4 linked regions of the Schizosaccharomyces pombe genome follow. The gene in region 4 interacts genetically with the main gene of each other region. Each region holds a gene or a part of one and is shown on either strand. Other genes may lie near its edges. The genes, in order: SPOM_SPAC11D3.16C, sym1, cit1 and SPOM_SPAC1B3.02C.

Evidence for each region.
Region 1: mutations in SPOM_SPAC1B3.02C (region 4) and SPOM_SPAC11D3.16C together harm fitness less than expected from each alone (positive genetic interaction), as found in Schizosaccharomyces pombe (one large-scale study listed by BioGRID).
Region 2: mutations in SPOM_SPAC1B3.02C (region 4) and sym1 together harm fitness less than expected from each alone (positive genetic interaction), as found in Schizosaccharomyces pombe (one large-scale study listed by BioGRID).
Region 3: mutations in SPOM_SPAC1B3.02C (region 4) and cit1 together harm fitness less than expected from each alone (positive genetic interaction), as found in Schizosaccharomyces pombe (one large-scale study listed by BioGRID).

Annotation. Positions count from the first base shown.
Region 1 is NC_003424.3:139,829-143,238, forward strand, and holds SPOM_SPAC11D3.16C (uncharacterized protein), read right to left. Parts: upstream 1,699-3,410; 5' UTR 1,373-1,698; coding exon 977-1,372; 3' UTR 553-976; downstream 1-552. Other genes in the region: SPOM_SPAC11D3.15 (ATP-hydrolizing 5-oxoprolinase), read left to right, coding at 1-456; SPOM_SPAC11D3.17 (DNA-binding transcription factor, zf-fungal binuclear cluster type), read left to right, coding at 2,847-3,410.
Region 2 is NC_003424.3:2,278,492-2,282,414, reverse strand, and holds sym1 (PMP22 family protein 2), read right to left. Parts: upstream 2,079-3,923; 5' UTR 1,993-2,078; coding exon 1,973-1,992; intron 1,924-1,972; coding exon 1,649-1,923; intron 1,556-1,648; coding exon 1,533-1,555; intron 1,424-1,532; coding exon 1,295-1,423; intron 1,248-1,294; coding exon 1,176-1,247; intron 1,108-1,175; coding exon 961-1,107; 3' UTR 568-960; downstream 1-567. Other genes in the region: ifa38 (ketoreductase), read right to left, coding at 1-112, 173-185; retromer complex arrestin related endocytic adaptor ubunit Vps26, read left to right, coding at 3,181-3,324, 3,421-3,923.
Region 3 is NC_003424.3:2,325,913-2,330,806, reverse strand, and holds cit1 (citrate synthase Cit1), read right to left. Parts: upstream 2,980-4,894; 5' UTR 2,947-2,979; coding exon 2,945-2,946; intron 2,161-2,944; coding exon 711-2,160; 3' UTR 518-710; downstream 1-517. Other genes in the region: SPOM_SPAC6C3.03C (uncharacterized protein), read left to right, coding at 4,173-4,475.
Region 4 is NC_003424.3:4,927,657-4,931,302, forward strand, and holds SPOM_SPAC1B3.02C (Elf1 family transcription elongation factor), read right to left. Parts: upstream 1,890-3,646; 5' UTR 1,861-1,889; coding exon 1,795-1,860; intron 1,754-1,794; coding exon 1,707-1,753; intron 1,664-1,706; coding exon 1,593-1,663; intron 1,445-1,592; coding exon 1,305-1,444; 3' UTR 516-1,304; downstream 1-515. Other genes in the region: SPOM_SPAC1B3.01C (uracil phosphoribosyltransferase), read right to left, coding at 164-262; cyclophilin family peptidyl-prolyl cis-trans isomerase Wis2, read right to left, coding at 2,289-3,359.

The sequences.
Region 1 (3,410 bases), 4.8 Mb from region 4:
ACTGATTTGGAGGTACTTGAAAGAAGATACCCTGTCATTTTGAGAAAGTTTATCATTCGTGAAAATTCTGGCGGCGCAGGAAAGTACAAAGGTGGTGATGGTGTTATTCGCGATATTGAATTCAGAATTCCAGTTACCCTTTCCATACTTTCAGAGCGTCGTGCCTATCATCCATACGGTATGAAAGGAGGTAAAGATGCCGAATGCGGTAAAAACATTTGGATTCGAAAGGATATCTTACCTTCAGGAGAGCAACGAGTTCGACAAATCAACGTTGGCGGTAAAAACACATGCCATATGCAAGCTGGTGACCATATTGTTATTATGACACCTGGCGGTGGTGGATATGGACCCCCTTCTGAACGAGTAGATACTGTCAAGAAAGCTAATGGTGTCCAGCATTTCAGGGCTAATGGCACCATCTCACAATTACAGGAAATACAGCACACGAATTAGTTAGATAATTTATTAATGGTAATATAAATAGTTTGTCTTTTACATCTTAATTTCTTACTAATAACAAAGTTTTTAAAAATATTTGTATATAGTTGTCGAATATACTACAAGTGTTGGTGACAACAACAGGATAAAGTTCAATAATATATAATATTCTTGAATACTAAATCATTTGTAGAAAATGTATATAATTGTAATTAAAAAGCCGTATAGATTAAGATAGGATATATGAACGCGTTTCCAAAATTTGTGAAATAGTGAAATATAAAAATAAATGAGTAAATATTTAATGTAATAGGAAAAAAAAAACTGGAATGGACTGCTAAAGCATTAAGAACATAAAAATTAGGATGCATGCGAGGAATAGGATGAGCTTTCAACAACTCTAACAAAAAAGAGTAAAGTTGGGAAAAAAAGGGTAAAATCATCTGCGCTCGAAAAAAAAAGAAGCAATCCTACGAAGGCAATCACTTAAAAGAAAGCGAACTGGAACGTAAGAGAAACCTTTCATTTCAGCAATTCAATCTGATTGGAATGTTACATTTCCGAAAGCTCTCACAGATGGAGATTTAACATCCACAGGAAAGCAAGAAGAAGCAGTAACACCGGCAGTATCAAACTCAGTATCACCGTCTCTAAACCTTTCATCAGCATCGGGTTCCGGAGACGTTAAAGGCATTTGTAACGATTTCAAAACTACAGGTGGAAGTGGAAACCCATATGAATTCAGCTTTTGTTGGTAGTATTGAATATATGTGAAAATGTCGGGAGACTTATGGAGAATGAAGCGATTAAAGCTAATCGCAAGCACACACAACTGAGTGCGTGGAATATCAGTACACCTTTGGTGAAGAGCCTCGATGAATTGCTCCATGAGCGCACATTCCAAATCCTCGTCAACCTTCAAAGTAGTCATAAAAGCGTTATTTGGATTAAAGTTGGTTCCTTCGAAAGATTCTAACTATATATATTAATGTTTCGGAATAGGAAATTATCGTAAAAGACAAGATAATCCAGAGAAAAAAAATAAGTGATCGAATTATGAACGATCGATTGCAGTACAGATATTGAAAGGATTAATAGCTATTTGCCACTTAAAAGCAACAATGAAAGCAGGATAAAATGACTTTGAGACGTTGGTTCCAATCGGTTTTCTCACGCGAAGAGCCAGAAAAGAAAAATGAAGGAGGTAATTACTAAGTCTTGAACTTATATCAAAACCTGTAGTAAGTGTAAAGGAATAAAGATTTCAAGTTGCTAACACCTATCTGTAGAACCTAAAATCAGCTGGTTTGATACAATCTAGTTCCTTATCCTGAAGACGTAGGAATTGCAAGCTTTTTTATTTGCTAGATAACAGTGAATATCGATCTCACAAATGATAGAAATGGGTATTCGGATTCGTTAAACCAGTTTTACGCGTTGTTAAAAAATGCAAGAGAATAAAAGCTGTAAAACTAAATGAAACAAGTCAACAAAATGGAAGAACTTTTATATCTCTAATTTTTGAATGTTTAACTTCATCTACTTCCTAATTATCTTTCAGCCACAGTAGATACTGAAATTTTTTTTCACCGAATTTCCAGTCTAGATAAATTTTAGACAGCCTCGATTAGATAGGTACTAAACGCATGCTAGCCGAGACTAACTTGATAATTCGACGAAGATATATGTCTTCATATATCTCACTGTCTGAAAGCGTTTATGGAGTTGAAAATATAATATAGAGAATGAAGGAATGTCGAGAATATGATATTATTGAAAGTTTGATAATATACTTATGCACGTACATCCGCGGAGAATGAAGTGTTTTGCATACCCTTGGCGTTAGAATATACTTACTTACTACAGAATTCTCGGTATACAATTTCAATTGCAAGTAATTATTAGGCACAATAAAAGAAGTAGTTGCATATATGAAAAGTTGAATTATGAGTTATTTATTGAAATAGCAACGAATGACTTAATTTGCGCTAGTTTATCTGCTTGACAAATTCGCTAAGCGCAAGATAGACATGGTTTATCAGAAGCATCTGTTTAGGGTTAAAGAGAGATAATCGCGACAATTATTCATAATGCTTACTTGTCCTTTACCATACGAAAAAACATTTGGAAATAGTCTATTGCTGATGGTATTAAGCTTAAAAGTATAAATCTGTTGTGTAAAAAGGTGTTCATTAATTGTTGCGTCAAAATTTATCTAACATTTTGCAATTGAGCCACCTACCATAGTTTTTGCATAGGAAATCTGTTGTCTGACAGTGTTTCCCTTCCTCTTTAATATTTATTGTTTGTTTATACCCGTTTTTGGTTAACACTTTTTAAAATTTTATACTTATTTATGCGTTGGATTTTCTTTGGGAAAGTTTTGTATTGATTTCTCCACAAATATGGTAGATCATGTTTCTGAAAATTCAACGAATGTTTTGTCTGCTAAGAGGAAGTTGACTGAACCTTCATTGATTGATTCTAAGCGCGTCTTTCCTTGCGACCAGTGCGCCAAGCGTTTTACGAGGCATGAAAATCTAACTCGACATAAGGCTTGTCATAGTAAGGCTGAACCTATACCTTGTCCCTATTGTGAGATCAAATGCAAAAGAAAAGATTTACTCAAACGCCACATACAGCGATTCCATAATGATAAGTCTGTTATCGAAGAAGGCTCGAAAGATGTGCTGGACGTAAAGGCTGCCGCATCACAGCAAGAAGATAATATGAAAATTGTTTTACCTTCTTTCGATGCAATAGATGTGCCAAAAGCTTATCATCCAAGTTTGCGTCCTTATTTTACCATTCTTCCTTTGATTCCTTCGGATTTCTTAGAACATTATATCGAAGGTTACTTTGAGTGGTTTCATCCTGTTTTCCCTTTTATTCATCAAGCATCGTTTAATTCCGAGAATGTTGCTGCTTCATTTCTTCGCTCTCTAGTTGTGATTGCATGCTTGTGTACT
Region 2 (3,923 bases), 2.6 Mb from region 4:
AACGTCTTATAAACGAAACTGGCAAAAGATGTAAATTTAAGGATTGTAAACACAATACCAATTACTGAAAATGCAGTTACTACTGCACCACAGCAAGATTTGTTTGCAAGAACTAAAAGTCTATTAGTATTCTAAATATTATACCCTAAAACACAAATATTAGTGTATATACCTTCTCCGTCCATATTGCAAGTGAAGTAATGTAATGTTCTACGTAAATTGCTAGCCTCTTAAGATAAAATGGCATCCGTCGACAAGTGTATACTGAAACTTTGCTATAATTCCTTATAGGATATTAATGATGATAAAGGAAGTTTGATACTTTTTGTTTCTTTTGATAAATTCAAGAGATTGTAGACACCTCAGTTGAGTAGCTGAAGAGGTATTTACTTCTAAAGATATTAGTACATACAGATTTTGTAATTTCATCTCTTTCGTATTTGTAACTTGTAGGGCTAACTCCCACCACCAGTGAATTACCATGAGAATAAAGTAACTAGGTGAAATTTGACACGGTGTTTATAAAGTAGTGATTTAAAAAATTGGAATTCGGTAATATTAAATATACTATTAACGAGATTATTTGGATAAAATCTGATCTATTGATATTAGCTCTCAGCGTCGATATGAAAAAACAATTTTTTTTCATTAAATACAATCTAACTATATGCAAGATATTTGCATAATTTGCAGCGAGTGAAACTAAATGAAATAATAGGAAGATCCATATATTAATCCAAGTTTATTAAATAACATAAGAGCATACCGATCGAAAACAAGCCTTAAGGGAGAATTAAGATAATTGGAATAAAATTTTGAACATATTAACAAACGAATAAACTTCAAATGAAGTCGTAAGCCCGACTGAGTAAAGGTAAAGAAAATTTGCAAAGTTGAATGTGAAATATAAATTTGCAAATACGATAGAAGAAAATAATAGCCGAATTGCTCCCTACCTTCTCATACGTCTGCATTCGGGGAACTATTTTTCAAACTTAAGTAAGCTGTCCAAACCATCGAAACAGCGTTGGCAAAAATCACCTGTAAGACCAAAGGGACGAAGGTAAAATTGAAAAGCTGTACGGCCGGCCAAAGTATATAATTAGCCTAAATATGTTAGCAAATGACTATAATAATTTAAGGCAGCTGGTGCAAATGTCAAAGAGATTCCTTACTTTTAATGTAGGCCAGTAATGTTTCCGGAAGTAGCTTTTCAACCTTTCATAAGACTTGCATTCGGTGATACCCTAAAAACTGTTAATTCTGATGCTTTATTTGTTGATAATAGTAGTACCATGAATAAAAAGAAAAACACTATGCCTAATGGAGCAAAGATAAATTGATCTAAAGCCACTCGCAAAACTATGGCAATAAAAGGATTCTCAGTTTGAATAACATTGGATAAGGCAACAAACCATCGGAACTAGATTCGCGTTAGCATAAAAAATTGGTGTACACATAATCAAACTTGGTATCAAAAGTCATTGTGAACTTTGATACTGAATTTAATCATTAAGAGTAGTTTTTCTTACTTGGATAGGAGTAAGGCATAGACCTGTTCAATTATGTTAGTATCTTGCATAGAAAGAGGGAGAAATAACAAGGTTCACTTTATAAGGTTTCAAAGTAATGCAAACCTTTAACGTACCATAGGCAGCATAACGAATTGTTCTATGGACATCTAACTTTGAAGTACTAGCTGGTAAGAGGATTGTATTCCCATATTTCTCGAGAGATACGTCTCTTTTATTGCGAAACTTTAGCAGTTTGTACGAGTCCAACGCCTGAGCTAACAAGTCAGAAAGAGCTGTTAAAGACGCGTTTAGTAATCCCAATGTGAGTAGAGGCTGCAATTCATATTTGTCGTTGAAGCGACTCACAAAGAAAAAGAAGAACAAAACACATATTAATAATCCGATTACTCTAATTATCGTAAGTATTTATTTAAATACACAGAAATAATCAAACATACATTGATTTCGCTATGAACATCGCGTACACCTTTAAAGGAAATAGAAGAAATACCACTAGTAAGTTATTGAGAGTGATATCAATATAGCGTTGAAGAGCTGCTTTGCAATGTTAAAACCGATGGTGACGATAGTTATAAGGCAAAGAAATCATTAAAATGAAAAGATTATAACAATAATTGTATATTTAATTAATTAATTTCGTTATTTCTTTATTCTTTTATTTCTTTGTTTAATTCTTTTATTGTTGTTTTATTTGATCAAATCGCTAAGCTGTAATAATCTGTGTCAAATATACTCAAATTATTCATTTTATCAAATTTTTTTTCTATCGAATGAGATTTGGTTTATCTTGTGGGATATTGTTTATTTCATAATTTCAACAATACCCTGAGAAATTCAACCTTTTAACTTTATGATTTTGTTTAATGATATATTTTTATGAAAATCACTTGCAGCGCTTTAAGCAATTTACTTACTCTTTCAAATCGATTAACTAAAAATAATGGATATTCGTTAGACTAAACGCATTCCATATAAATTGTTATACAACTAAATAAATTCTTTTTATTTTTTTTCTTCCTTTTAAATTCACTTGCTTTACATGTGAAACAGTAACTGAATTTAAGTGCGAATTTTTAATAACTTGAATTAAGTATTCTAAAACAAAAAAAAAAAAAATACCATACAGTTCATAAAAGTAAGATATCCGATTTTTGAATGTAATGAATAGATGGTCAAATGTGTATGCTCTTAATTCATAAAGTTCAAAAATAATTTAAAGCATCATTTGGCACAATAAGAGTCAGAGAAAGAGCTTATTAATTTACATATAAATTTCTTTAAAGAAACAACCGTGTTCTACTAAGACATAACTTTTTAAGTACAATAATAATTCACTTGTTTACGTCTATAAACTCAAGCTCGCTAAAACATTTCGTTAAAAAACTTAACACATATTACTCAAGTTGCGTTCCATTGCATTAAGCTACTAGCTCTTCACAGTATCACCCTACACCATGAATTTACAAATTGGGATATATTAGCCTCCAAAAATTAATTTGCTGCAATTATCAGTTCTTATTCAATTGCTAATTTATCATCCTTAGAGACAGAAAGAAATTACGAAATTGAACTTATTTTCCTTATTTCAATTGAAAATATCTAAAATTCCAAACTCATTTTTCAAACAACTTTCTAAATTTTCACAATGGATTACTTCTTTAAAAGTCCAATCGACGTTGATCTTCATTTGGACAATGAAGAAGAACGAACGTTCGTTGACTATGAGTTTGAACAGGGCCGAAAAGACAAGGCGCCAATTTACGAAAGTGATGAGACTGTGAAAGGAACAGTAAGTGCAAACGTGCACGTTCAGTGTATTTTGAAATAAATAATCTGTTGCAACAGCTTGGATTTTTATATGTTTGTACGACTAACGACGGTATAGGTGATGATTCGTTTAAAAGATGGCCGCAAGTTGGACCACGATGGTGTGAAAATTGAGTTTATTGGACAGATCGAAAATACTTACGACAAAGGAAATATTCATGAATTTACTAGAAGCGTACAGGAGTTAGCTTCTCCTGGGGAAATGAGGCATGCCCAAATGTTTGAATTTGAGTTCAAGCATGTTGATAAACCTTATGAATCCTATATTGGCAAAAACGTTAAACTCCGCTATATATGTCGCGTTACGGTTTCCAGAAAGATGAAAGATGTCATTCGTGAAAAAGATCTGTGGGTCTATCGATTTGAGAATGAACCAGAGACAAACAGCTTAATCAGAATGGATGTGGGCATTGATGAATGCCTACACATAGAATTTGAATACAGCAAAAACAAATATCATTTAAAAGATGTTATTATTGGGAAAATCTACTTTATCCTTGTACGCATCAAGGTTCAGCGGATGGAAGTCAGTATCATACGGCGTGAAACGATCGGGACATC
Region 3 (4,894 bases), 2.6 Mb from region 4:
TATATTCTGCTTAATACAGCAATTCGTAAAATTGAAACAAATTGCGAAGCAATTAGAAAACTATCTTAAACCAGCCTAATGAAAACTAGTGAAATACGGTAGTTCAGGAATTTTTATTCATATATATATCTCTTCCATTTAGAAATTTTATCTTTTTCTATGCCACATACATAGCACGATTGGAGGCTTTGGAATTTGAGTCTCGGTGAATCAAAGTTCTTTGGTCTTGTGAATCCACGTGCAACTAAAAGGAGTGCTAACAGTGACTTTTGGTACGCTGTGTATATGCAGAAAAAGATATTAGACACCAATTAAGCCGGGACGAAAGCCTAATTGGATTGCTTTCGTCTGACTATGCGTGTTTTACATTCATACCAAATTAAATAATTTAGCTAAAATATATAGAAAGTTACCAGATGATGAGAAGGCCTTTTGAAATAACAATTTGCTTACTGAAAACTTATACGTTAGACTTTTTAAAGCCATGAATACAACAGAGTTAAGTAAATTCATTGTTTGCTATACCAATTTTGAAATTTATTATTAATATTATTGTGTTTGCTGATATATTTGCGGATATTCAATTTTTAAATGCAACGGGAATTGACAACACCAACACAGTAAAAACTAAGTAGGAAATAAAACATTTATACAAATAATGAATGAAAAAAAAAGCGCCGACATAATTTTCATTGTAAGAAATAAGATAATCATTTCGTTTCAACCATCTTCTTTAATGCTTCAGTAGAGAAAGACTTAGGACGCTCAATAGGTAGTCCCAAAGCTCGATCCCAGATGAGTTGAGAGGCAACACCGAGTGTTCGAGAAACACCGAACAAAACGGTGTAGAAGCTTTGTTCTTTCAAGCCATAATATTGCAAAAGAACACCAGAATGTGAGTCAACGTTGGGATATGGATTTTTGGTTTTTCCATGCTCTGTAAGAACACCTGGAACTATTTCATACAGACGGCTTACAAGTTGAAACATGGGATCTTTAGGAAGATGCTCAAGTGCAAATTCACGCTGAGCCGTATAGCGAGGATCTGTCTTACGAAGTACGGCATGACCATAACCAGGAACAACACGACCAGAATTCAAAAGCTTCCAGAGATAAGACTTGATTGTTTCTTCAGATAAATCATCACCGATTTCTTTCTTCATTGTAATCAAAAAGTTCAAAACTTCTTGGTTGGCAAGACCATGAAGGGGACCAGCAAGTCCATTTAAGGAGGCAGCCATCGACAAAAAGGGTGAAGAAAGAGCAGAACCTACCAAATGACCGGTGTGAGCAGATACATTACCACCTTCGTGGTCAGCATGGATGGTCAAATAAAGACGCATAAGCTCCACAAATTCCTCATTGTTAGCAAAGCCCAGAACATTAGCAAAATTGTACGAATGGTCCTTATCCATTTGAATAGGAGCAACAACACCATCACGGTACAAATTGCGGTAGATACGACCGGCAATTGGAACGGTCTTGGCAATCAAATCCATGCAGTCTTCATATTCATACTTCCAATAATCATGCTTGTTCATTCCACGCTCATATGCTTTAGCAAATGCAGAATCGTGCTCAAGTGCAGTAACAGCGAGAGAGAATTGGGCCATTGGATGAAGGGTAGGAGGGCAACGGTCAATGAGTTCTTCAACAAATTTGGGTAACTGAGAACGGGCGGCCCAGTCAGCGGAAAGCGCCTGCACTTGACTCAGAGTAGGAATTTCCCCGGTAACTAAAAGCCAGAACAAAGATTCAGGAAGAGGCTGTTTTCCGTTGGGAGAAGAAGGAAGTAATTTTTGGCATTCCGGGATAGTATAACCACGGAATCGGATACCCTCGTTAGGGTCTAAAACAGAGCCTTCCCATATTAAAGAACGAACCCCACGAGCACCACCATACATTTGATTGATAGTTACCTCACCAATGACATCTTGGCCATGTTCTGCGCGAAATTTTTTGATTTCTGCTTGTTTTTCAGGAATAAGCTCAGCTAACCGATCCTTTAAGGAAGAGGAACGAGTTGAGTAAGAAGATGTGAAAAGGGGGTTTAATTGACGGGAACGAAGCGACGCTTGAGAAAGTAACGACGAAGCAAGTCGTCGAGTACTAGCTAATCTTGTGTTTGTCATAAAACGAGGTGCGTTTAATATAATCATCCTAATAATTTAAAAGTTAGTAAAAAGTAAAACTTGGGAAATAAAAGAAGGCGTGAAATGCGGGAAAAGCTCCTTTGTAATAATATGAGAGAACGAAGGATATCAGATCAAGGAGATAGTGAAGGCCGATTCGCAAATTTAACAAACAGAAAAAAAGAAATAAGCAATAAGAATAGAAAGTCGGTTAATGATAATATCTAAGAGAACTATCGTGAAAAATAGAAAAAAAATTGACTATCAATAATCGCCAATGAGAAAAGTCACTTTAATTTCAAACAAGCTAAAGACGGGGTTTGTTATCAAAAATCAATAATTAATTTTCAATTCAACTAGTGTGCTTAATCTGAGCACACTCAGATGGGTCATAGATATAGACAGGAACCACAAATTTAGTAGCGTAGTCATTATCAATAACGGCATCTAATTTTAAATAGAAAAAAAAATTGAGCTTTTGAAGACCTTTTCTATCCTCTTCAAAGTAAGAGAAATGAACCCATTTTGAGTGAAAATTTGCATACGCTATGTATAGGATTGACCCCAAGATAAGCGCAGATGAAAAAAGTCCTAGCATTGGCAGACATGAATTAGAGCATCGAGTAAACTATATTTCCAACCAAAAATATAAGACTTTCTTTCAAGAAAACCGACATTTCGTAAGACCAAAAGGCCAACGAAACGCAAAATCAAAATTATCACAAAGGAGGATTTTCTAAACTATGCACTAGAGAATATCCTACTGCCTCTCGACAAGATCAAATCTCAAACACCTTTAGGCTTGCACTTACATGAAAAAGGGTATTACAATGCACCGATATTGGCTAAGGAAAGAATAATTGCTGGGATGGGGGACTATTTATTCGGTAAACCTGAGTACCATTAGCATGAACGGAGGGGAGGGTGCGACGTCAGTGCCCCATGATTCTGTCCATTCAACAACTAGCCAAAACCGAGGAGAGGAACAACCTTAGCATATAGACTCGCTTCTGATGTCGGTGAATACGAAATACAAAACCACTTAAAATTCAGTAAAGTGAAGAAGGTTTGTGGAGAATGACTTGGGCAACAAAGCCGAAATCCACCAAACAGTAAGAAAAAATTGTAATGAAGAAAGAAAGCCTTATTTATCACATATTTACTAATGAACTTTAGCCTACAACTTACAAACCCGTTGAAAAGTCAAATCTCACTTTTATGATTGGGACAGGCAACCTTGCATGGAAACCCGGTTCATCGTCGCAGGAAAAAATAATATTTTATTATTTAGATGTACTTTGATCAAAAATAAATTAAGGAGTAAGAAAATTTGAAAAGAGGCGTATCCGATGTTTCCATAATTGTTGAATGATACAAATTAGACTACATAGATTGATATTATATCCTTTCAACAATGAGAGAAACGAGATGGGTATGAATAAGTATTGATTTCCTACCAACAAACAATTTGTACATTTTATGCTTTGAAAACGTACTGATCTACATTACCATAGTGTCTTGTATTGTTGGCCTTGCAAGTGAAGTGCTATTTACTGTTACTATCAATAAACGCATCTTTGGTTCTTGGTTACCATACTTTGTGCTACAAATTTTATCTCTCATAAGTTTTTTTTCTTTTTTTTTTTTTTTTTTGAAATTTTAAATAGATAACAAGCCGAATTTCGAGAATTTGCTTGTCTTGATCAGGTAAAAAAGGGTAGTTGCTCCGATCGATCGAGCTAATGATATCAGTAAAGATCAAAATTTAGGAGAACTTCCGCGGTAGCGGATTTCTCAGTCAAACATAGTACTACAATAGATACAGAAAAGAATTGCTTAGCTATGCAAATATTTACTCAATGAACGTTGACTGAAGTAGCTTCATCTCTTGCATGTGCGTTACGGCAATGCATATGCATGTATCGGGAGTGAATAAATGAATAGAGATGTTGACAAGCGACAAGAAAATAATTTTTATAGGTAAGAAAGTTTTTGATAACTTTTTCTAACTGCTCAACCATTGCTATTGACGAAGTTTAGATGGATGTTTTTTTCTTAGGATTGCTAGTGGTAATCGCTATTTTCACTAACGCTAAGCGTTACAGCTCGTTTCGCTTTTTATTCCCATCCAAAAACTTGGACCCCAATGAGACAAAGTGGGGGTGGAATATTAGAATTGCGACTTTTAGATCGTTACTGAATACCATTCCAAGTATCCCACATTGGAGAACCATGTGGGGAACCGTTCGAGTTGGTATTGTACATACCCCGTCGGCCAAGGTAAGAGAGCGTGTAGACTGTAGTTACTACTTTTTGGCTAGAGGATTCAAAACTCAAAAATAGCTCTTAAAAATAAATATAGAAATGAATTAATTCAAAAACATATAATTTTTCTTCGGGATTCCTTTTTTTTACAACAACAGTCATTTCAAGTGCTTTGACTTGACAGACGCAACATAAATAAATAAATAGAACACTTTGATGCAAAGTATCGAATTCCAACATATCTCTCTAGACTGCTTTTCTATTAAAACCATGACTACTAGTGTTTCCATATAAAAATATAAAGAGATCCATCAACAACTAATACGTACATATTAGATTTTGCATTCCCAAATTGCTTCGTTATTTCACATACACCCATTTATTTAAAACGAGTTAAGAGTAACATCATTTGAAATCAACTGAAACATTTATATAAGCTGATTTTTCACAATCTTGCTATTTCACTAGTGTGGAACCTGGAGCTGCTTCATAGTTTT
Region 4 (3,646 bases):
AATGTACTAACTGATAATGAATGCTTCCTATCATCCACTGATAAACATTTATCTCCCCATTAATAGAGGAAAAAGCTAAAATTTCTTGGACATATTAACACATTCATTTCAATTAGTTCTTAGACCTTGACTCAGTAATCTGTTGTAAACTGAACGCGCATACACGAGGTTTCGTTTTATCACGAATGATGGTAAACAACCCTTTTAATTGATTTGTCTGATTTAGTACGTACACATTTCCATGCTCAGGTACCAGCGACATCTTTTTGACGATGTATGCTTAAATATCTACCTATCAAGTTGTTTACCAAGTAAATGGTAAAAAGTAAAAGCACAATAACACATTTGCTTTTAAGCTATCAATAGCAAAATGAGTTTTATCAACCTTAGTATATTTCGTTAAACATAAATAAAGATTTACAACATCATTTCATAATAACATAATTATGATTAATGCGTTACTTAGCGCAGTAAAAGATTTCTACTCTAGCAGGCTTGGCAAAATTAAATAAGAATATCAATTAACTATTGAACATATTTTAGGGCAAGTTGATGTTTTTAAATGAATTACTGCTTATATTTAAGAATGAGAAAGACAGTACAAATTTTTGAAGCACACATTCATACAATTGGACTCCATGCAGCTTACAATCTTAATTGGATTTCAATGTTTTTTACTTGTAATTCTCAATTCATCCAACTGTATTCACAAGAAACCAAGAAATGAGTTGTATTGTAAGGATTTTTAAATCAAATGCAGTAAGAACACATGAACATATTTTCATATCTCTTTCATTCTAGACATTTTTTGTACATGGAGAATACAATAAGTACAAGGTCGAAGTCAACCACACTCTAGGCACTCGTAATTCTTAGCCTGTCATAGTGAACAGCGATTCTACCAAACCAAAAACAAAGCAATGAAATGGCTATCTTGCCAATGAGCAAGATATCACACCCATATTGATGGTACATCCGAATACCAACAAATAAGCTTAACACTATCGTCCAATTGTCGGTTCATCAGATGGAATCTCGAAATTCGTATGTTCGACGTCTTTAAAAAGGACAAATATATACAAGAGCATGCCTAGATTTGTATACACTAAGCTCGTCCGGTTTTGCCAAATACAGCGTCTTGTTCATTGCAATGTAGTTAATACCTTCTTATCGCTTCAGAGAAATCTCTTAATTGAAACGACTGAGCATCAACGAAAATAAGATCACCATAAATGAACGGAAACTTTCAACATTTAAGCTCTGAAAAGAATCTTCCTTTTGCAAGTTAGGCCAATAGCAAAAAATCATTCCTTTTCTTCCTCATAAGCTGCTTCAGGGGAATAGGCTTCTTGATCATTTATATTATCAACCTCTTTAGCTTGATTTGCAACAGCATCACAAGCATCAATCCAGTCGCTGTATACGTCGATGGGTGCCGAAAGAGCTTGATAATGTTAGTAAATAAGTGTACAAGAAAATTTCATAAAAGAACAAGAAATAAGAAGATAAAGAGACGATATAAAAGAAATTAACCGCAATATTAATCGTAATAATTTACGTGCCGCTATTGAAATAAAACACCTCTTTCATACCTGTAATTAGACATTGATGACTCTGACCACAAATTTTGCAGTGTAGATTTCCAACTCCTGATTGTTTATCACTATCAAAGTGTTAAAAAAAATGAAAGTAGTTAATAAGCATACAGACTACAGCTCACACTTTTTTCGTGGTTGCAAAATAGGCACGTAAACTAGTAAAGTTAGTAAATTTCGTAATTAAACTATAACTCACAGTCGTATCTAATGGGGGTGCCCTTCTTTTGGGTTTCACTTTTGCTTTTGCTTTTCTTTTACCCATTTGCAGAATCTGTTTACGTTTTGCAAACTGCAGATTCGTATTAGCGGGTTCACATTAGCACTCTCATCCTTAGGAAGGGTAATGCGGAAACTCATGTAATTTCGACACTTGGTAAGAGACGGTCTTATTTAATTTTAATGAATTAAATGTTTAAATATGATATTCTTATTGAGTTTACTGATGCACATTTGTTTCTAGAGTTCTTTCTATTCATGATGATACTTTGCTGTATGAAACGCAAACGTAGGCATACCAGTCTTACAAACGAAGCCAGATCCTCCATAAGTAAATCTTGCACTCTTTCTCGCAACGTAGTTGACCTTCTATGGTTATTTTGTAAATGCGATAAAACTCTCATTGACTAACTAGAAATTAACGTAAAACATAATTGACTTCTCAGCATTCACGTGACGCCGATTAATTTGGAATTACTGAAACATCTTAGCATAGGCCTTTTGTTGGCGCTTCTTATAATCTTTTTTCTTTTGACGAATTTCTGCAAGCTTCTTTGAAATTGCAGGATCGTTACCAGCCTTAGCAAGTGCTTTCTCTGATTCTTCAAAATTCTTCAAGAGACCTTGAGCACAACCCAAACGATAGTATGCTTTCTGTTTCTCTAACTCAGTAGAGTTACTGGCCTCAATTACAATGTTGGCGTTTCGAATAGCTTCCTGAGGTTTGTTCTGCTTCAAAGCTACAAGGGCAAGGTTTGCGTATATGCTGTATCGTAAAGCATTATACTCTTTCCAGAAATCAGGGGATTCCTTAGAGTCATCGTTGGGAACAGGGTATTCCATTAGGTAGCGCAAAGCTTTTTGCCATTTGGCAACGGCTGTATCCAAATTTTGCTGAGCAAATTGCTTGTTAGCAATTCCCTTTAAGTCGCTAGCAATTTTGAAAATGGCAGTCTCGGACTTATCACCCTCGTAATCATCAGGAAATTCTTCCAGAGAATCACCAGTAACGTCTGGCTTTGGTGCCTCAATCTGATCCTTTGTGCAAGTTCCACATTCTTCAATAACAACAGGTACAACCGGATCGTCATTTTTGGTCTCCAAATTTTCAATGGTACGAACAGTAGATTTTCCTTGAATTACCTTGCCAAAAACAACATGCTTTCCATCCAAATGAGGGGTGGGAACAGTAGTAATGAAGAACTGAGATCCATTGGTATTAGGGCCGGCATTGGCCATGGAAAGCAAGAAAGGCTTATCATGCTTGAGCTCAAAGTTCTCGTCCTCAAACTTCTCGCCGTAGATGCTTTCTCCACCCGTTCCATTACCACGAGTAAAGTCACCACCTTGAAGCATAAAGTTCTTAATTACTCGATGGAACCTTGAACCTTTGTAGGTTAAACAACGGCCATCCTTCTCAAACCCATTACACAACGAAGCAAAGTTTTTGACAGTTTTGGGAACTACGTTGTCGAAAAGTTCAAAGTAGATTGTTGGTTGAATTTTACCATCAATGCTAATTTTAAAATAGGCGTAAGTACTCATTTCGTGCAAAAAAAAACAATGATCGTTTTTAAGTAATGATATTTCACTGCCAGTCTCCTCAGTGTATTCACACCACAAAGTTGCTTTAAGAAGAAGAATGAATAGCGATTTTACGCAGACGAAATATACAGATCTGTGCAAACTATTTAGTTTTAGTTATTAAAAAGGTGGTGATTTATATTTGCAACCTACTGCGAAGAGATTTTCTACGAAACTTCTAGAAACATACTGTATTAAAAAAATGCTAGCAGAAGAAAATTTGACTTTTTATTAGACCAAAAAATATT